Oryctolagus cuniculus: one gene and its partners. The protein of the gene in region 2 interacts with the protein of the main gene of each other region in a pairwise test. Links are inferred from orthologs where the notes say so. Each region holds a gene or a part of one and is shown on either strand. Other genes may lie near its edges. The genes, in order: CYTH2, IPCEF1, CYTH1, CYTH3 and CYTH4.

What was found.
Region 1: the proteins of IPCEF1 (region 2) and CYTH2 interact in binary tests that used the Homo sapiens proteins (3 or more experiments, as listed by UniProt). The link is inferred for Oryctolagus cuniculus from reciprocal best matches to the Homo sapiens genes IPCEF1 and CYTH2.
Region 3: the proteins of IPCEF1 (region 2) and CYTH1 interact in binary tests that used the Homo sapiens proteins (3 or more experiments, as listed by UniProt). The link is inferred for Oryctolagus cuniculus from reciprocal best matches to the Homo sapiens genes IPCEF1 and CYTH1.
Region 4: the proteins of IPCEF1 (region 2) and CYTH3 interact in binary tests that used the Homo sapiens proteins (3 or more experiments, as listed by UniProt). The link is inferred for Oryctolagus cuniculus from reciprocal best matches to the Homo sapiens genes IPCEF1 and CYTH3.
Region 5: the proteins of IPCEF1 (region 2) and CYTH4 interact in binary tests that used the Homo sapiens proteins (3 or more experiments, as listed by UniProt). The link is inferred for Oryctolagus cuniculus from reciprocal best matches to the Homo sapiens genes IPCEF1 and CYTH4.

Annotation. Positions count from the first base shown.
Region 1 is NC_091449.1:8,592,734-8,596,902, reverse strand, and holds the start of CYTH2 (cytohesin-2), read left to right. Parts: upstream 1-1,282; 5' UTR 1,283-1,298; coding exon 1,299-1,761; intron 1,762-2,015; coding exon 2,016-2,163; intron 2,164-2,264; coding exon 2,265-2,331; intron 2,332-3,110; coding exon 3,111-3,229; intron 3,230-3,803; coding exon 3,804-3,884; intron 3,885-4,169. UniProt on the Homo sapiens protein: Acts as a guanine-nucleotide exchange factor (GEF). Promotes guanine-nucleotide exchange on ARF1, ARF3 and ARF6. Activates ARF factors through replacement of GDP with GTP.
Region 2 is NC_091436.1:13,312,829-13,317,113, reverse strand, and holds the start of IPCEF1 (interactor protein for cytohesin exchange factors 1), read right to left. Parts: upstream 2,856-4,285; 5' UTR 2,689-2,855; intron 1,911-2,688; exon of another isoform or gene 1,501-1,910; intron 1-1,500. UniProt on the Homo sapiens protein: Enhances the promotion of guanine-nucleotide exchange by PSCD2 on ARF6 in a concentration-dependent manner.
Region 3 is NC_091448.1:2,963,783-2,967,444, reverse strand, and holds part of CYTH1 (cytohesin-1), read right to left. Parts: intron 3,157-3,662; coding exon 3,076-3,156; intron 2,184-3,075; coding exon 2,071-2,183; intron 808-2,070; coding exon 659-807; intron 302-658; coding exon 190-301; coding exon of another isoform or gene 189-189; intron 1-188. UniProt on the Homo sapiens protein: Promotes guanine-nucleotide exchange on ARF1, ARF5 and ARF6. Promotes the activation of ARF factors through replacement of GDP with GTP.
Region 4 is NC_091450.1:40,180,156-40,184,264, forward strand, and holds the start of CYTH3 (cytohesin-3), read left to right. Parts: upstream 1-1,163; 5' UTR 1,164-1,314; coding exon 1,315-1,348; intron 1,349-4,109. UniProt on the Homo sapiens protein: Promotes guanine-nucleotide exchange on ARF1 and ARF6. Promotes the activation of ARF factors through replacement of GDP with GTP. Plays a role in the epithelial polarization.
Region 5 is NC_091442.1:114,279,942-114,284,221, forward strand, and holds the start of CYTH4 (cytohesin-4), read left to right. Parts: upstream 1-1,403; 5' UTR 1,404-1,537; coding exon 1,538-1,556; intron 1,557-4,280. UniProt on the Homo sapiens protein: Promotes guanine-nucleotide exchange on ARF1 and ARF5. Promotes the activation of ARF factors through replacement of GDP with GTP.

The DNA of each region.
Region 1 (4,169 bases), on a different chromosome or scaffold from region 2:
CCGTTCTCTGGCCGGGTAGGACAGGACCCGGGCCGCTCATAAAGGTCAGTGAGGGGATTAAAAGGCTCCATGTCTAATCCAACGGCTTAACCAGGTCCTGGCCCCGAATCCGTCCCCGCCCGCCCAGCCCAGGGACGGCAAATGAGGTGAGGCCCAGAGACTTCAGTCCCCGTGGTCTGACCACTCACAGGGGCTCGGCGGTTCTGTCCAGGCGGGACCTGCGCACCTGCCACCCCCGGCCGGGGCTGTGGAACGGGAGGGCCTGGGGCGCGGGGGGAGTCTGAGAGGGTCGGGGTGGGGGATGCCTGAACAGAGCAGAGCCGGAGTCGGGGGAGAGAAAGCAGAGAGGCGGCAGAGAAAAGAGAAAGAGGTAGAGACTCGGAGGGAGGATGCTACGCTAAGGGGAGGGGCTTAGGAAAGAGGGCGGAGCCGGTGCTGTCCCTAACGTCCCATTCTGCGTGACCGGTACCCGGGAGTGTAGCATTTGACAGAACTCCATTTCACTACGTCCTGACCCTGAAGCGGCTGGAGTGGTCATGTGGGGCGTTAAGGGAAGGGTCTGCACGTAGCAAGGGAGACGCGAGGCAAAAGGCCGGCGAAGCCGCTCATGGTTGCGCGGCAACCGCGGCGGTCCAAAGCCAGCGTGGCCGGCCGGGAGGTGTGGCTCACGGCCTAGGCCCCGCCCCCTAGCAACAGGACTAACAAAGTAACGCCCCCTGGCAACGTGCTGAGAGGCGGGGCTCGACTGACCCAGACTCCGCGCGCCCCGAGTCCTTGCGCAGGCTCAGTGTTCTCCGCTCGCGCACAGCCCCACCTCCTCACAACGCCTTTGCGAGGCTTCTCATTGGTGGACAGGCTTGCCAAGGGCATTCTTTTGTTTCGGGGGCGGGGCCTGGCGCCCTGCCCGCACCCCGATTGGGCCCCCTGGCTGTCTACCTCCGGCCGGACATGCCTAACACCTGTTTCTTGTGTGCCTATTGGCCTGGGCGGACTGTCCTTTGGCGTCGGGGGGCGGTGCAGCCCGGAGGGGTCGCCGCGGATTGGGCGGTGTCAAGACGAGGGGCGGTCCCTACCGGCCGGGCGGTTGGGCGACGAAGGGAGAGTCTTTTCAGCGCTGAGGACTGGCGCTGAGGAGGCGGCGGTGGCTCCCGGGGCGTTTGAGCGGGCTCACCCGAGCCCGCGGGCCAGCGCGGATCCAGGCCCGACTGGCGGGACCGCCCCGGACTCCCCGCGGGCCTTCCTCGCCGCCATGGAGGACGGCGTCTACGGTAGGCCGGAGGGGCGGGGCCGTGGAGCGGATGGAGCGTTCCCTGGCGAACGCCCCGCCGCCGGCGTTCGCGCCCGGCGCCCGCCGCCCGGGGTCCTCGGCGCCGCCGTCGCCGCCGCGCTGGCCGGGGCGCCGGGCGGGCTTCCGGCGGGGTCCGCGAGCGCGGGGCGTTCCGGGCCATTGTCTGGGCCGAGCCCGTTTCCGGCGTCGGCGGGAGGGGGCGGGATGGCGCGGCGGAGGCGAGGCCGGGGCGGAACCATTCCCGCCGGAGGGGCCGGGCGAGCCCAGCGGCGGGCGGGGAGGGGAGGCCGTGGGGGCTGCCGGGTCCGCCGAGGCCCGGCCGCGCCGTCCCGACTCCGCGGGCTGCCGTCGGCTTCTCCTGCCGTGGTCACTTCCCTTGGACCCAGGGCTTCCGAAGACCCAGGCCCATCTTCCCCCGGGCCCCCCGGCCGCCGCGCCAGTAATGGAATCAGAACACCACGGCCGCTTTCCAAGTAATGGACCCGGAGGCCGAGGCTCCCACGCGGGTTCCCCCTCAGACTCTGGGGGCCGGGCCCTAAGCCCCCCCGCCCCCCCCGGGACTCCCGGCCTCAGCCCTGGCCTGAGCGGTCCAGGCTGCTAGTGCCCCCTTCATCCGAGGCAGGCGCCTCACCTGCGTCCTGCCCCAGCCCCGTCTCGCCCCACGTTGCAAGCATGCAGGCTCCCGGCCCCAGGGCTGACCCTCGGCACCCCGACCCCGGCCCCGCAGAACCCCCAGACCTGACGCCGGAGGAGCGGATGGAGCTGGAGAACATCCGACGGCGGAAGCAGGAGCTGCTCGTGGAGATCCAGCGCCTGCGGGAGGAGCTCAGCGAGGCCATGAGCGAGGTGGAGGGGCTGGAGGCCAACGAGGGCAGGTGAGGGCCGGGCCCGGGGCGGGCGGCCCGAGCCAGGCCGGCCCAGGACGCCAGGCCTGACCCTGGGCCGCCGCCCCCGCCCTGCTTCGTGTCCCCTGCAGTAAGACCTTGCAGCGGAACCGGAAGATGGCAATGGGCAGGAAGAAGTTCAACATGGACCCCAAGAAGGTACCGGGGGCCAAGGGCTGGGTGCTGCCGGGGGGCGGGGGGTTGTAGCAGGTTTGTCCCCAGTCCCTGGACTCAGCTACTGGCTGTCCGCTTGCGCTGTGAGCCCTGAGCAGTCCAACCTCTGGGGAGGCGCCAGACACCAGGCTGTGGACAGCCAAACGGGGAGCCTGGGGGGCTGCCCCGAGGAGGAGACCAGGTTAGGTTTGGAGGATGGAGAGGCGTTCACCAGTTGGAGGAAAGACTTTTTTAAAAGGGGGAAAGAGAGGGAGGGAGGTCCCAACAGCCAGGGCTGGGCCAGGTCAAAGCCAGGAGCTTCTTCCGGGTCTCACGCACAGGTGCAGGGGCCCAAGGACGTGGCCATGATCTGCTGCCTTCCCGGCACGTTAGCAGGCGGGTGGCTTGGAAGTGGAGCAGCCGGGACGCGCACGCTGGCCCAGCATTGCTCACCCAGTCGTTCATTTAACACCCGTTTTCCAGTGCCTCCCGAGGGCCCGACCCTGTGCCGGGCGGAGCTGGGGACCCAGGGAGGAGAGGCCCTGGACACAGACCCACCGCCCAGAACGAGCTGTAGCTGCAGCGTAGGGGCTGCACGGCCAAGAGGGCGCCGAGGAGCCTCCAGGCCGCCTGGGGCTCGGTGTCCACCACTGCTGCCCACTGACACCGTCACTCAGCAAGCAGGTGTTCAGCGTGGACCTAGCCAGGCAGGGACAGGGAGGCTGAGGTCCAGGCACCTGTGACGGCCTGGCCCCGGGCACTGAGAGCCCGCTCTCGCCCGCCAGGGGATCCAGTTCTTGGTGGAGAATGAACTTCTGCAGAATACCCCCGAGGAGATCGCCCGCTTCCTGTACAAGGGTGAGGGGCTGAACAAGACAGCCATCGGGGACTACCTGGGGGAGAGGTGAGCCCCTTCATGCCTGCCGGCCTCGCTCCCTGGGCAGGGCCCCTGCACACTGGCCCTCGGACCGGACTGCTGCGGAGTGTGTGTGTCTGGGTGTGGGCGGCCTGCCAGCGCCCAAGACGGGGGTCCCCTTATAGAGAGCATCCAGGAGCATCACGGGAGTGGGAGAACCAGGCATGGGCTGCAGGTGTGCGTGGGAGCTGTCTGGCCAGCCAGGGAGTGTGGGGACGCGTGGCAGGCCCCTAGGGAGCACGGACCCCGTGGACATCTAGGCGATGTGCAGCTGGGTGATGGCTGGGGAGCATGTGGCTGGCGGGGGGCATTGGCAGGCCTTCATGGCCACTGGGGTGCACGTCTAGGGGCCAGGGCACCGTGTCCACATCTGGGGAGTGTGGGGTCGTCTGAGGGGGCAGGAGGTGGCGTGGGTGGTGGGTGCGAGTCTCCCAGCAACGGTGCAGCTAAACTTGAGCAGCCCTGCCGTGGGGCCAGGCGGGAAGCCGCGTTCCCTGCCGAGGGCCAGCTGCCCCAGTGCCCCCTGTGCGTTCCTGTGTGTGTGACTGTCCTGTGCTCGCAGGGAGGAGCTGAACCTGGCCGTGCTCCATGCTTTTGTGGATCTGCATGAGTTCACCGACCTCAATCTGGTGCAGGCCCTCAGGTGAGGGGAGGGGTCGGGGGGGCAGAAAGTCACTTTCCTTAGTCCGGAGTGGTGAGCCCCACCCCACACAAAACTAGGGAGTTGATTGCTTCTTGTAATGCCAAAGTCCATGAGTGAGCCTCCTCCAGGCACGGCCGTATCCAGGCGCCCTCTTCGCTCGTCGTGTTGGCATTGAGCTTCTTGACCTTCCTACGTGGCACCAGAAGCCCGTAGCAACCACCAGACCTGTTTAGAAACCTCAGAAGAAGTATTTTTAATTTTCATTTTATTCGAAAGGCAGAGAGA
Region 2 (4,285 bases):
CTCAAACCAGCGCCCATATGGGATGCCGTCACTACAGGCGGCGGCTTTACCTGCTACGCCACAGTGCCGACCCCAGCATTTGTTCCTAATAAATGAGTCTTAGTCTATTCTTGCTCCTATAACAAAACACCACACATCGGGTAGTTTATAAATAATGGAAATTTATTTCTCATGGTTCCAGAAGCTAGGAAGTCCAAGATCAGGACATCAGCAGATCTGAGGTCTGGTGAGAGCCTGTTCCTGTGGATGGTCTCTTTTCCGTATCTTTATGTAGCAGAAGAGGGCACGGCACTCAATCCCTCCTGCATCTTTTTCAAGGGCATTAATCCAACCCACGGGCAAAGTCCTGCGACATCCTCATCACTTCCCCCTTCTCTTAATACCACCGTGATGGCTATTAGGTTGCAAAAGGAAATTGGGGGTGAGGGGACTATTCAGACTATGGCAGAGATTCAAGTTCATTTTGCAAAATGTAGAAAAATTTCAAAAAGCCTCAATGGAAAAAGACAAATAAGTGGCTAAATTTTTAACTGTGGGCGGCTTTACCGATTTGAAAACTGAAGAGGGGTGGGCATGGTGGCGCAGAGCGTTAAGTCACTGCTTTGATACCCATATCCTATATCAGAGTGCTTCACTTCTGATGCAGCTTCCTGCTAGTGCACCTGACAGGCAGCAGATGATGGCTCAAGGACCACATGGCCCCTGCAGAGTCCCTGGCTTCATCCTGGCCCAGCGTCAGCTGTTACAGGTACTGGGGGAGTGAGCCAAGGGATGGAAGATCTCTCTCTCACTCATTCTGCCTTTCAAATAAGTAAAGAAACAAAGCTTTAAAAAGAAATAAAACTTTATTTTAAAAAATAGCTGCATGTCACAGACTAGCATTTAAGTTCATGAACATATACAACAAGAAAAAGAGAAATAATATTTTAAAAAGGAAAATGTATTGACAACTACCTGTCAGTAAAGATCCATGACCTGGTAATCGTTATGCAATCATGCTTTGGTTATTGTATTGTCCTCACACAACAACCCGAAAGCCTTAGTATTTTATTATCACCACCTTACAGATTCAGGAGTCATAGAGCTTATAAGTAGTAGATGCAGATTTTTAACAGATGTGCTGGACCCAAAATTATGTTTTCTACTTGCTCTTTCCCACAAACCCCCATCATCATCTCCACTGCCACAGCCACCACCAGCATCAACTCTCCTGCCACCTCCACCGCCACTTCCAACTCCCCTCCACCGGAATCTCCACCTTCACCTCCTCCACCACATCCACCTCCACCACCACATCTCCACCCCTCCCGCTTTCCTGACCCATGGCTTTGCATCATCCTGGTAAGACATCCTCTCCTCCTACCTTCCCAGTTTCCTCCTCTGCTGCTTCACTCCGACCTCCTCCGACCTGTACCTTCCAGGGAAGCAAAGCAATGGCTACCCTCCCACACTCGTTTGATGAACAATCCCGACCGTTCCATTCATTCAACATATACTTACTGAGTGCATATGCTGTTTGGCACTGCTCTGAACCCTGGAACTGCGGTGATCCTGTCATTGGCAGGATTTTCTCCAACATCAAAAAGCTTCTTTTTTAGGATTTTCTACACATGTAAGGCACTGGGCATACTAAATCTCCTTGCAAATCGTCAAACCTGTGCTTGGGTTAGCAGCTCGCACTGCCTTCCCTTCAAGCTGGACAGAAAGCAGAAGTGAGCCATTCAAGAAGGATACACAAGTCAAAAGGAAAGTTTCAGGCAATAGTCATGAAGTAATTTCTTATCTCTTATTGCCACAGCCAGCTACCGCAGGAAAGGGCTTCCTATTTCCATGCACTGATGATGCATACTTGCTTAATGTGGTTTGTTTAAAATATTCATGCTTGGACTTATCCTCTCCAGAAAAAGACACTTGATATATAAAGAGAGGGAAGGAATAAAATTAAAAGACAAAATAGTGAATGAGTACATCAACAAAGGCACGAGCATAACTCCTTTCCCACCTCACTTGCATGATGTATACGTAAAGCTCTATTTCCATGTTCTATGCAAAATAAATAACTGTACAGGAATCAGACTTTAAGTGTTACTATAAAATGTCTAGGACAGTACCAGAAACAGGTCCTTACAGGTGAATGAATTCTAGTACTTCAGTGGGCTACACCTGTTTCCTAAAATTCAATTCTTTCACAGACGCTACAGGAAAAGACTCTGAGCCAACAACTTGCTCTCATTTTCATACCAGAGATTTCTGGTCTAGCCTGTGACCTTCTTCTAAAAGTACAATCCCCTCCAGTTGTTGGCCTGCAAAGAGGCATTCTCCGCATAAAAACGCACTTTCTCCAAAGAGTCTGGCCACAAACTATTACGATAGGACCCTAACAGATGTTGAATTAAGCATTTCTGCATTAAACCCATGGTCAGCAGCCCAAGTAGCCACCAGTACACTTGTTTAAGAAAAATAGAGAAGAAAAGTGAGTCCACTAGTCTACCCTGCACAGCTCTAACTCAAAGTCTACAGCTCTGCACTTCACAGCAGCAGGCGTATGAAGAGCTGAGCAAACGCCAAATCCCAAGATTCTAGAAATCACTATTCTAGAGATAATGATAGAATGTCCATCCTGTACCATCCTGATATGCCAAACAAGGACTTCTCATACACAATCAAGGAGTGATTTTTTTTACTTACATGCAGTAGGAAATCCAGGAACTGACTCTTTGGCGCCAAGTTCAGAAAATTCATAATAGTCTGAGGAAGGGTTGACTATTCCACTGTAAGCAGTCACAGCTCTGGAGGTTCAGTCTACTTGGAACTCCCATTAGAAGCTGACCAGAAAAAAAAAAAAAAAAAAAAAAGCTCTTTCAAAAGAAGAGGAAGTGTCATCTCCACTTCCTTAATTTTATTGTTCTTCCTTCTTATTGTCGCTGAACCCCTTCTTGATTCCAATATCAGGACACAATAGATGCAGAGCAGACACGTCCCATCAGTCTGACCCATTTATCATTAAACATTTCCAGTGTGTTCATTTCTAAGACATATGCATAAAATAGTGCTTGGCTTGGCTTGGCTTTCCTGTTTTGGAAGCAAAGAAGTTTATTTACAGGCATGAGGAGTGAGATCATTTGCAGAGCTGTTCTCAGGATGTTTGGTGCTGCTGTCACTTTGTAATATCAACCTCTTTTAGGTTCCATCTTCCCTCAAATTTCCCTCCTTTCTTCTACCCTTATCATTTGTAATACTCTGCTAAATAGAGGATGCAAATTAGTTTGTAAAAAGTAGTTAAGGATCAGGGCAGCGCCGTGGCTCACTTGGTTAATCCTTGCCCTGCGGCACCAGCATCCCACTCGGGCACTGGGTTCTAGTCCTAGTTGCTCCTCTTCCAGTCCAGCTCTCTGCTGTGGCCCGGGAGGGCAGTGGAGGATGGCCCAGGTGCTTGGGTCCCTGCACCTGCATGGGAGACCAGGAGGAAGCACCTGGCTCCTGACTTCAAATCGCCACAGTTCCAGCCGTAGCGGCCATTTGGTGAGTGAACCAATAGAAGGAAGACCTTTCTCTCTCTCTCTCTCTCTCTCTCTGTCTATAATTCTACCTGTAAAATAAAAAAAAAAAGTAGTTAAGGATTTAAATAAGTCTTTGGAAAGGTGTTATGGTGCTATGGGTTAGGCTACTGCTTGGAATTCCTAAATCCCATCACAGCGACTCTATTTATTATTCAATTCCCAGACAGTGCTCCTTGGAGAAAGCAGATGATGGCTTAAATCTTGAATCTCTGCCACCCACAAGGGAGAAACAGATGGAGTTCCTGGCTCCTGGCTTCAGCTTGGTTCACTTCATTACCAAGACACATTGTTTAGGTCTACAAATCTAATGATTCTCATTCCATCTCCAAGACACAGATAAATTAGCACACATTCAAAAACCTAAGCTATAAAACTAGCCAGAATCTAGGTGGAAATGGAAACAAATGGAAAATTTTTCACATAGTCACAGCGTGAGCAGGCTTCAAAGCAATCAGGAGGAGGCACTGACTTATGATCGGCATGCAGACAGTATCAGCAATCAGCTTGATTTACAGAGTCATACAATTCATCCCATTAGGAGTAGACTTTCTCAACATATGACCTTCTTTTTCTCAATACTTGATGAATGTGCTCCTTCCTCCGAATGATAAAACAGGATTTCATGACCTTTGGATCCTACCAAACCCACATGGCACAAAAGCTGATCACTCCTTCCATCTTTCTTTGTAAGCATGAATTGCTTAGACCAGGACAACACAAGGTTT
Region 3 (3,662 bases), on a different chromosome or scaffold from region 2:
CATGTGCACACAGCCTCCCCCATCATGTGTGCAGTGTCCCTCCATCATGTGTGTGCACAGAGCCTCCCCCCACCATGTGCACACAGCCTCCCCCACCATGTGTGCACAGGGTCCCTCCATCATGTGTGTGCACACGGCCTCCCCTTCTTAGTCCCTGCCTGAGGAACCCAGCCCAGAGAGACGACTCACCGAGCTTCAGCAGCCAGCCTTCTCGGTCTGGATTGAAGAAGGTGTGAGTGAGGTCATTCCCATCATCCTCTGGGATTTTAAAGGGTTCATTTTTTATGCTCTCATACAGATTCTGGATAAAAGACGACACTGCATGTCTCTGACTCCAGGAATCTCTCTCTCCCTCCCCTTCCTCGTCACTCCCTCCAGCAGCACTGAGCGTGGCCTCCAGTGAGCCACGGCTGCCAGCTTCCGCGAGCAGAAGGATGGGGCCAGGTCTGCCTCCAGCAGCTCACGTGACGAGACAGACACAGACATCCGGGGGGGTGACCAGGAAGCCGTACCAAACCACAGCCCCTTCCCAATCCCTTAGCTGGGCCCCGCTACCCGTTTCTTAAGGAAAGTCACACAGCTGAACGACCTGCAAGCACAGACCCACGCTAAACCCCAGGGGCTCCCGCGACCGACACCAGGGCCACCCGGGGCTCACCCGGAGCAGCTCCTCGGGCAGGTCGCCTCCGTCGTTGATGCCTCGGTTCATGGCAATGAACCTCTCCACGGTGGGCTTATCTTTGACGTTGGGGTTGTGCAGGCTCGTGTTCAACATGATGATGGCAAAGGAGAGGACGTAGCAAGTGTCTGAAGACGAGACAGAGTGGGGGCTGGGTGTGCTCCAAGCGCACAGACACACCCCACCCAGAAGCGTGAGAACGGCCAGGGAAACGGGGGCTCAAAGGCTGCGCGTGCAGGCGAGGGGGATCACGCGTGGGGCGGCTCTGGGCTGCGCCTCTCAAAGTACAGAGAACACTAGTCTCAAAGGACGCTCACTCAGAATGAGAGTATGCTGTAGACAATCTTAAAAAACAACATAATTGGGGCCAGCACTGCGGTGTAGCGGGTAAAGCCGCCGTATGCAGTGCCAGCGTCCCATATGGGCACCAGTTTGAGTCCCGGCTGCTCCACTTCTGATCCAGCTCCCTGTTAATGGCCTGGGAAAGCAGTGGACGATGGCCCAAGTCCTTGGGACCCTGCACCCACACAGGAGACCCAGATGAAGCTCCAGACTTTGGACTTCAAACAGGCCCCTTTGCAGCTATTTGGGGAGTGAACCAGTGGATGGAAGATTTCTCTCTCTTTGTCTCTGTCTCTTCCTCTCTCTCTCTAACTCTGCCTTTCAAAGAAATAAATAAATCTTTTAAAAAACTAAAAAGAAAATACAAATTACCTAAACTTCCACTGTTCACTTATTTTGCTTTATTTCTTCTACATGAATGTGCCTGTGTGTCCGAAATCAGAAAAGCACCTCACAGACACACACTGCACTAGCACCGCAATCAGACACACACATATGCACTTCTGCTCATCTTATCATTAGCCGGGATGTAAAAATTCTTCACAAGGTTTAATAGCAGGACTGGTGCTGTGGTGCAGTGGGTTACGGCACTGGCGGCCTGCAGTGCCGGCATCCCATATGGGTGCCGGTTTGAGTCCTGGCTGCTCCACTTCCAGTCCAGCTCTCTGCTGTGGCCTGGGAAAGCAGTAGAAGATGGCTAAGTGCTTGTGCCCCTGCACCTGTGTGGGAGACCTGGAAGAAGCTCCTGGCTCCTGGCTTCAGATCAGCTCAGCTCCAGTCACTGCAACCATTTGGGGAGGGAACCAGAGGATGGAAGACCTCGCTCTCCCTCTCCCTCTCTGAAAGCCTTTCAAATATATAAAATAAGTGTTACAAACACGATTCTTCATAGCCTTGTGTTTCACAGTTCTGAGTTACTACAAATTATATTCCTAGTGCCTACTGCAGGGGTTCTGGATCATTTCCGACTTTCTACTGTGGAGTGTGCATGGGCCCCAGCCCTGGTGTGGTAGAGGTTAGCACCCTGTGCTGGGACGAGTCCCACTCACCCGTGGACTGGAACACCCCAGGGTTGCACTGGCAGTACCGCTGCGCGAAGGCCTCCATCATCCGGTCGATCTTCTGGGCCTCTCCAGGGAGCCGGAAACTCCACAGGAACTGCCTGAGGGTGAAGGGAGGGCGGGGCAGGGCTGGAGACGGCTCACGTCCCCCGGAACTCAGTGTCCAGGGACAGGCAGAGACCTGGCCTTCAGCCCCGTCACACGACTCTCCCCAGACTTGCCACCCGGACCACCGGTGCCAGCATCGAAGGTACAGGACTTAGGGAAAGTGAAGGTTTTCCTATTCAACAGAATGCTCTCCTCCTAAAACAACACAGAACTGAAACACAGACGGAGCTGCTCTTAAACAAACTCCGGTTTCCAGAAAACAAGGCAGCGCGGCAGGAGAGGAAAACCACAGCTCTCAGAGCTGCTCCCTTTACATCAGAGAGAGGCCACGGCGGACAGAAACCTGTCTAACGGACAGCACAAGACGGCGTTGTCCACAAACGATGAGGCCGCCAGTTTAGCAAAAAGGCTCAGTTTAGCAAAAAAAAAAAAAAATTTAAAGTTTCTTTCTAGGAAGAAATGCAATGCACAAGCGCAGGGAATTAAAAGGGTTTTCTAAACTGAAGACTTCAAAATGTACGCGTTTTCACCAGTTTCCGAGATGGAGACCGGGGCGGGGGGGGTGGGTGGGGGTGCTGCAGAAGCTGCTTCGGGTCTATCTTAACTTACTTCCCTTTGCTCATCCAATCACTTCCAGCTACAGGAAGACCGACTGCTTTCCTTTAAAACTCTTCAAGACATTTAAATAACTTCCAAAGAGATCATTTCAACCAAACAGCACACAGCACAGACACACGGCCGAGGCCCGCCCCTCACCCTGACTCACCGCAGCGCCTGGCCGAGGCCCGCCCCTCACCCCGACTCACCGCAGCGCCTGGCCGAGGCCCGCCCCTCACCCCGACTCACCGCAGCGCCTGGCCGAGGCCGCCCCTCACCCTGACTCACCGCAGCGCCTGGACCAGGTTCAGATCCGTGAACTCATGCAGCTCCACGAACGCATGAAGAACCTGGATGTTGAACTCATCTCTGCCAAGAAAAGACACGGACGGGGGACACAGGAGTCAGGCGTCCCCGCTGACAGCCCGGCCGGGTCTCGTGGCCACACTGTCGGGAAGAGGCCGGGCTGCCCGTTTGCTGACTGAACAAGCAAGTGTCCTCCTGCTCTGGACAGAGCAGCGACTGTCCTGCGGACAAGCCGGCCCTCTGCACTGGGAGCACTCGCTCCCAGGGAGGCTTTTGGTGCGATGGTTAGGCCACCACCGGGGGTGCCTGCGTCCCGCGTCGCCGTGCTGGGCGTCACGGCCCGCTCCACTTCCGATTCCTGCTCCCACCAGTGTGCACTCTGGGAGGATGACGGCTCAGGTGTTTGGTCCTTGCCACCCGTGCCGGGGACCCAGGCTGGGTTCTGGACTCCCAGCTTTGGCCTGGTCCAGCCCTAGGATGTGCAGGCATTTGCGGAGGGAATCAGAGGTTGGGAGAACTCTGTCTTTCAAATTAAAGTGAAAGTAAATAATTAAATAACTCCTAAAAAC
Region 4 (4,109 bases), on a different chromosome or scaffold from region 2:
AACACCCAGGTATCACATTATTGAGTTCAAAGTATGCTATCCTTGGATGCTCTTATCTCTAAGATAACAAACTGATGTGAACAAGACCAGCGTGCCACCTGTGTGGGTGGGGACCTGAACCTGCATCACATTGTCCCTTTGTCACACAAGAGTGGCCCATGGCCTTGGAAGTGCCTGAGCGCTCTGTGTCTTAATTCTTGTTGTTTTCTGCAGGTAGAACTCCTTGGATTCTCTCCACAACCGTGGTTGGCTTAGACAGATGACCCCCTGGGGGAAAAGTCCTTTGACTCAATGAGCGACCTGCAAATATAAAACAGTTGCCAGAGAATTCTATTAGAGATGAGCCATCTCCCCCATTACAAGGTTTGCTTTTCTTTAATGCAATTTAGCTCAAGCAGAAAGGCCAGTTGGGAGGGGCTGCGTTCTGTGCCTTACTGGAAGCCAGACCGGCGGCGAGTGAGGCAGGCGATCCACAGAGATTTGGGGCAGGAAGGAGGGGAGGCGGCTGCCCCACAGGCCTGTGCCCACGGGGAATTGAGTTCAGACCTCCTCCTGTAGCCATAAATCCAGGGCAGCTGGCAGCGATCCAAGAGAGGCTGGCGCTAAACTCCAAGGGCATCCGACGCCACGCCGGCCACCCCCTCCCGCCCTCCCGCCTTCCCTGGGCTGGACCTCAGGTGTGCCCCACTGGGCCTGGGTTTGCAGCCTTTTAAGCAACTGGAGCGCGCACCCGCGGCCGGGCAGGAGCGGAGAGGCTCTACCGCCCCGGAGGAAGCCGAAAGCCTGCAATTATTCTGATGTTGTCTTGGGGTGGGGGGGCCGAAGCGGGGAGGGTCTGACTTTTGGGTGCCTCCAGCTGTTCCCCTGCCCCATCCAAACCAAGCGCACGTGCGAGCTGCACCCCCCCGCCCCCCGGCCACTTGGGTGTGCAGCAGCAGAACGGATCCGTCCCCGTGTTCCAGACCCCACGTGCATCCCGGGGCCCGCACAAGGCGGAGAGGTCTGCCGCCAGCCGCGCGCACGAGGGGGCCTGCACCCCGAGGGTCGCGCCGTCTCGGCCGCCCCAGCTAAGCAGACAGCGCCCGGACCGGCAAGCTCCGAAGGGCGGGGCCGCGACTGGAGGGGCGGGGCCACGGTCACGTGACGGCGCGCCGAGCGGCGAGGCCCCGCCCGGCGGGGAGGAGGCCCGGCCGCGACCCGGGCCGCGCGCTGAGGAGCCGCCCGGCCGTCCGCGCGCTCCCTCCCGCAGGGACCCCAGCTAGCGGCCCCTTGACCGTCGGCCCCGGGCTTGCCGGCTGCGGGAGCGGCTTCACGATGGACGAGGACGGCGGTGGCGAGGGCGGCGGCGGTAAGTGTCGGAGGTGTGGCCGGCCCGCTGGCGGCCTGAGGCCGGGGGTTTGTGGTGGGGGTGGGTTGGCGCGAGCGGACGACCGGGCCGGGGGTCCCGAGCCGGGGGTCCGCCTGCGGAGACGGCGTCCTGGGCTACGCCGGTGCCGGCTGGCGAGCGCGGGAGGCCCGAGGCTGCGGCGCCGGGGACTCCTGGGACGAGGCGGGCCGGGGTCACCACCCAGCACCGAGCAGGGGTCCGGGTGGGGAGCCGGGGCCGCCGCGGGTCGGAGCGCGGGGGTCGCTGTTGTGGGGCGCGGGACCCTGCGGGGCGACCTTTCCCGGCTTGTGGCGGCCAAGGGCGTCCACGCCCTCCGGAGCCCCCCAGCTGTGTGCGACCACCCCCCTGGAAGCCCCCATGTCTCGGGGGGTCGGGAGCTGTAGGCAGTGGGGAGGGGGAAAGTTTTGAATCGGGGCTCTGCGGGAGGGGCACAAGAGGAGGACAGGCTGAGGATCGTGCCCCTTCTCTCGGCTTTAGGTCCGAAGTGGTCTCTGGAATTGCGTTCAGCGAGGGGCCGGGGCAGCTGGAGTCCCGGTCTGCACACGCGTTTTATAAAATAGCAAATGTTACAGAGTAGGCAAAAGAAAGAGCGAACCGAGGCAGCGCAGCAGCCGAGGGTGCGAGTCGGGAGCCACAGCCAGGAGCCGAGGCGGGGAGACCCCCTTTTCCCCCCACAGTGCGTCGCGCCCTGCACAGCCTAGCCCCGGGTGGTCCCTGCTGGACCCTCAGCTTCCTCGTGGTGGTTGAACATGACCGAGTGGAGTCAGATTGCTGTGTGTCATTCTGCATAGCAGGTTTTACAGACAGAAAAATGTGCCTCCCTCTTCGGATGGAATGAGTGGGTCATTGCCTTGGCCAGTAAAGGGTTAACGCCCATCTGCCCTCCCCCCCCCTTTTTTTTTAACAGGGGCACCCAAAGTGGAGGCTCTCTCTACTTTGGCTAACGATCTCTCTCTCTCTTTTTTTTTTTTTGCTGACAGCCGGAGTCATCAGACCCCCATGTAATAAGGGAGCGTTCAGGGAAAAAAAAAATCTTAATTACAGGCTGCGGGAGCAGCTGCCTGTAAGAATCAGCAGTATTGAATGCTTCAGGATGAAGTGGTTAATCAAGGTGCCTTCTAGAATTCAAGTGGGGCTCAGAGGGAGATGTTGTCGCGTGGAGGAAGAAGCCGACGCGGCTGGGATGGTGGGAAGTTGGCGCCCGGCGTGGTTCTTGCTGTGGCCCGAGTGGGTGTGCTGTTTATGGAAGAGGGTGCTGTGGCAAGCAGGAGCCCAGTTGCAAACCCTCCTACAGCCAGGCTGCCCCGTCTGGCAGCGTCAGATCCTAAGTAATGGGTTCCCCGTGGGTGCCGGGCGCCAGCCTATTGCGCTTTGTCGTGGTAGGTTTCCCTTTGTCAGAGAAGAGTGACAAACGACCTGCAGTGTTTAGACGTGTGTAGCTGGCTGGCTTGGCGATTTTATTTGGGAGGTGCTTCTGTGCACTCTGAATGAGGAAATGCAGAAAGATGTGAAGGTAAAAGCAGGTGTAAGGGGGTAGGGGGAGGAAGCCTCTGTGTTCCAGCAATTTATAGAACTCGAGGACTGGGACCGTGACAGCAAGGGATGGTATTAATTATCAGAAGTCTTCAAATTGGGCCATTTGCGTTTCTTCTGGGAATATATCACAAACAACCTTGAAATAAAAAAAAAAAAAATCTTGTGAACGAAGCTGTGTGCCTTCAGCTGTTTGTAAGTTATTGAAAACAGCACTGTCCACCAGTAGGGGATTGGCGAGGTAAATTATGGCAAGTTTATTAGATGAAACATTTTATAACCACTAAAAATAAGCAGTTGTTTTACACATCATACTCTAAACAAAATAAAAGCTGGTGACATTATGGATGTTTTATTTTCTTAGTTTTTATATTTTCCAGGTGTCTGGGATGAGCGTATATTACTTTCAGATTGGCAAAAAGCAGCTTATAGGCAGGCGAATGTTTTGAAGTACAGCATCTAATTCATTCAACAATGAACAGTTATTTATTGATTGCTAAGATGCCAAGCGGCTTGGTGGGTGGTGGAAAGCAACTTTCAGCCTTTATTAATTTGATTTATTAAAATCATCCTTCCTTCCGTTGTGGAAGACATTTAAAAATATGTTTGGCAATCTTAGGATTAAGTATTTCTTTCAAGTGAGAATCTTTGAGAATTTGAACTGAGTCTTTATGTGGTGGTTATTGAATAAGCTGGATGTGCTCACATTTTTTTTTTTTTTTTAAGATTTATTTATTTGGAAGGGAGAGCTACAGAGAGGTAGAGAGAGCGAGCGGGCAAGTGCGAGAGAGGTCTTCCATCCGCTGGTTCACTCCCCAGATGACCGCAACGGCTGGAGCTGAGCTGAACCGAAGCCAGAGCCGTGAGCTTCTGGGTCTCCCACGTGGGTGCAGGGTCCCAAGCATTTGGGCCTTCTTCCACTGCCTTCCCAGGCCTCAGCAGAGAGCTGGATAGGAAGTGGAGCAGCCGGGACTGGAACCAGTGTCCATATGGGATGCCGGCACTGCAGGCAGTGGCTTTACCTGCTATGCCACAGCGCCAGCCCCAGTGTTCACATTTAACTCTTGATTGTTGGAGGTCTTGAAGTTAACATAACACTTCACTTTTTTTAATAGTTATTAATATTTATATTTTTCGAAACATGCTATGTGTTAAAATTTATGGTTTTAGAGATGAAGTTCAGCCTCTG
Region 5 (4,280 bases), on a different chromosome or scaffold from region 2:
TCCCACCGCCACCGGGCTGGGTACCCACCCTCCAGCTCAAGAGCCCTGGGGGCCAGCTCAGGACCACGGGGGCAGCAGGACCTGCGAGGGTGGCACTCACGGACCTGCCACGGAGCTCTTTGCCATGCTGGCAACCGTGGCTTTCCCCACACTGCTCCTTCTGTGTGAGCCACAGTGTGCCGTGTCCAGCCCAAATGCGTGGAGTAGAATCGAGTGTGCCATGGGGATCATGTTCAAGTCTCCTGCAAAGCTACCTGGAGCTACCCTAAGCCAGGGGAGGAGGCGGTGCGGGCCCCAGGCCCTGGGCACGCTGGGCTGGGATGGCAAGTGTTTATCCAGCACCTGCTACGGCCCAGGCGTCTCACGCGACCGTCTCACTCCGTCTTCTCCAAGGTCCCACGGTGAGTGTGGTTGTTCCCCTCACACGGGTAAGCAATGTGAGGCTCCCAGCAGGCAGACAAAGCCATAGGCCTGAGTTCATCCAGGTCCCAAGTGGCAGGGCTGAGAGTCGAGCAGCCGAGCCTGGCCCCGCTGTCCGGACGCTGCGAGGATCGGCTGCAGGGGCCCGCGTTGTGGCGCCGCAGCTTGGGACGCCTGCACCCGTATGAGAGCGCCTGGGTCCCGGCTCACCCTCCACCTCCAGCCCAGAATGTGACCCTGGCAAGCAGCAGTTGATGTTCAAGTACCTGAGTTCCACTCACATGGGAGACTCGGATGAATTTCCCAGCCCCTGGCTATGGCCTGGCCCAGCCCTGGCTGGTGTATTTAGTGGAGTGAACCAGTGGATGGAAGATATTTCTCTCTCTCTCTCTCCCCGCTTTCCCTCTCTCCCTCTCTCCCCTACCTCCCTCCTCTGTCACTCTGCCTTTAAAACAAATACACAAAATTGGAAGCCTACAAAGTTCAAAAGGAGCAATGATAGACAAACTTCAGATTTGATAGTGAGTTTCCTGGCAGCCTAGTGGAAAAGGGAAACTGAACATATAACCAACTGGTCACCAGACAGGAACAAGTCAGGCATTTAATTAAAGGGAAGCAAAGCAAGCCCTTTCTAGCTAGCACTGAATGTTTTTTTATCAGTGGGAGTTGAACGAGAGCCTCGGGGGTAGGACACACGGGGCCCAGCCAGGAGGACTAAGCAGGCTGACCCTTTGGTTTGTGTGTGGGGACCCCCCCGCCCAGGATGAATACCACGGCCCCGAGAGAACGTTCTATTCTCAGAGCGTGTGTGCGCACGTGTCTGTGCGAGGCTCCCTGTGGCTCTGTTCTCTCTCTCTCCCCTCTCCCCATCTGTGTCATTGGCTGCTACCTCCCTGCTCGCACCCCGAATGCAAAGGTCCCCGATGCCGGCTTTAGAAAGTGCGGCCGCCTCGGGAGCCTGCGCAGGAGCCCCGGGCCTGCACGTACTTCCTCCCTGCAGGCAGGGCTGGGCGGGGTAAGCAGGAAGAGGCCTCTGCAGGGGCGAGGTGACGCACCCTTGCCGGGCTGGCCGAGCAGCCGAGGGTCAGGGGCAAGGTGCTGCCCCTGGGGCCTCACCATGGATCTGTGCCACCCAGGTAAGCACCTGGGCCCGGGCCCTGCAGGCCTGAGCGCCCTCTGCCGAGGGGCGGGGTGACGGCACCTGCCTTGCAGGTCCTGGAAGGAGACGGTCTGGAATGCACTTGACACGGGTGGGAGAGGCAGCAGCAAACATGAGCACTCCTGGGGCTCAGGCTGGGTCGCAGGGGCACCTGCTACAGTGGGAGAGAGCACACGCCACAGGTCATGTGGCATATGTCACTTTACTGTCACAGGAGAAAAGTAGGGCAGGGACGACGGGAAACAGGGAAGCACCCCCGAGCAGAGCCCTGAAGTGGGGGAGGGGGTGATCCGCGGGGGTTCCGGGGCAAGAACATTCCGGTACAACGCTCAGCGCTGTTCTTGCGACGAGGCTGAGGATGGTGGCTGTGTACGGGGACCCTGCAGCCCCTTTCTGCCATTGGGGGCGGCTGAGGAGAGGCGCAAGCTTCCCCATACCCAGGGCGGTGCAGGGAAGACGACAGGAGGCTGGGACGCTGGCAAGGGGGGCAGGGCAGGCTCACGGTCCTGGGGAGCGGAGAGAGGGACGGGGAGAGGGGGAACCAAGTCCCCCCACCCAGTCCCAGAATGTCCCCAAGGCACCTGGGGTGCCGCCTGGCAGGAGCCACTCAGGTCCCCGGGGCCAGGTGGCTTCAACCTTGCTCAACAATGAAGCCTTTCTTCAGATGAAAGCCAACAGGACTGCGGTCTTGGAGTCCCGACGCCCGGGGCTGTGTCCTGCCTGGCTGTCCTGGGGGAAGGAGACTCAGGCAAGGACTGACTCGCCTGAAGCCGTGTGGCCAGTAAGTGGCAGAGGGACAAGAACCCAGGAGGAGAGAGCCCCAGGTCGGGGGCAGGGAGAGGAGCCAGAGCAGAGGAGTGGGGTGGGAGGAGGGATCTCATCTTTGCTTCAGGCTGGCCCTGGGGGACGTGGGTGGGTGGCAGGTGCAGGCGGTTGCCTGGTTGGCTCGTCCTCTCGGCCATTCACTCTCTGCACACTCCTCCAGGGTGCTGTGTGTCAAGTGGGGTAGAGTGGTGACCCAGCTATGGGCCAACCCCTGAGGGAGCTCCTGGTCCAGGGTGTTGGGGTGAGGGGGGCAGAGGGAGGCGCTGGTTCTGCAGGGCTCTGACCCGGATGAGTCAGTGGACACAGCCACAGAATGTGGAAGGAAGCAACTGTCTCCAGGGAGGCAGAGGAGATCTGGGTAGACTTCCTGGAAGAGGGGGTAGGGGAAATGACAGCCCTGTGACCACCTGAGCCTTGATCATACTCCTCGGTGGGCAGGACACTACCCCAGGCTGAGCCCAGACTCGCTGCCTGTAGGTGGCTGCCCTCATCCACCTGACCTGCAAAGCGGGGGTGAGCCGGGGCTCGGACAGACTCCCCCAGATCTGGCTCAGAATCCAGCCCTGCACCTGCCCATGGCCGGGATGGGTCTCTCCCACCTCAGTCTTCCCAGGGCCCACCTGGGACGTGGGAGAGCAGCTAGGGCCCCGCCCCTGGGGCTTAGGTGGTTGGGGACACGTCCAGGCCAGGAAGCCCCGAGGTGACCGAAGGCGAGCGCTGGCTGGGCGGCCACCGGTGCAGGAGGCCACGGCCGGTTAAAAATAGAGGCATCTGCAGCGGGGGAGAGGAAGCCGCGGGCGGGGCCTCTGGGCTGGGGTGAGCAGCAGCCCCCCGGCCCCCAGCGCCCTCCGGCCTGGGGCCTCTTCCCAGAGGGCGCCAGGCTGGCACTGCCCGCTGCCCTGGAGGGGAAGTCAGGCAGCTGCCCTGGCAGGCGCAGCGACGTCTAAAATTATGTCACAAAAAGGGAAGTGCAGAGGAGCCGCGGCGGTCGGTGCGGGCACGAGGCAGCTGCAGCCCAGGGGCGCAGGGGTCAGGGGTGCAGAGGGGCCGGGCGGGGCAGGAGAAGCATGAGGGGCGGGGAGGAGGCAGCAGGGCTCTGCAGGGGTGCTGGTGTGTGTATTATTATTGCAAAAACGTGCATCTCCCTCAAAATCTGAGGGCGCTTCCAGATGCTGGTGGAGGGGCGTTTGGCCCGGCATTGGGTTGGACGCAGGCTGAAGTGCCCGCTTCCCAGGGCAGGCGTGCGGCGCGGCGGGTGAGACCCTGCTTGGACGCCCACGCCCCATCCTTCCAGTCCCGCTCCTGGAGCCCAGCGGGGGGCAGCAGCCACGGCTCAAGCTGGGGTCCGGGCTACTGGCTGGGTTGTCGCTGGCCTTAGGGGAGTGACCCAACAGATGCAGGGTCTCTCTATCTTGCTCTCCCCCCCAAAAAAAAAAAAATAAAATAATTTTTTTTTAAAAGACAAACCTGAATTTTAAAACACATTCCCATACCCCGTGTCGGAGAGGCTGGATTCCCCGGCTCCGGCTCCTGGCTCCCGCGCGCCGCCGGCGCCCAGCCTGGGAGACAGCAGTGATGGCTCCGGTAGCCGGGTCCCTGCTGTCACATGGGCGACCCGGATCCAATTCCCCACTGTGGTTTTGGCCCCAGCCAGGGGCTACTGTGGCCCTCTGGGGTGTGGACCAACAGCGGTTAAGTCTCTCTCTCTCTCTCCACCCCGTCCTTCAAACAAATAAATCATTTTTGAAATGTTCATGGAAAATGGAATTAAAAGATGTTTAGTTTGGCCAGCGCTGCGGCTCACTTGGCTAATCCTCCACCTTGCGGCGCCGGCACACCGGGTTCTAGTCCCGGTTGGGGCGCCAGATTCTGTCCT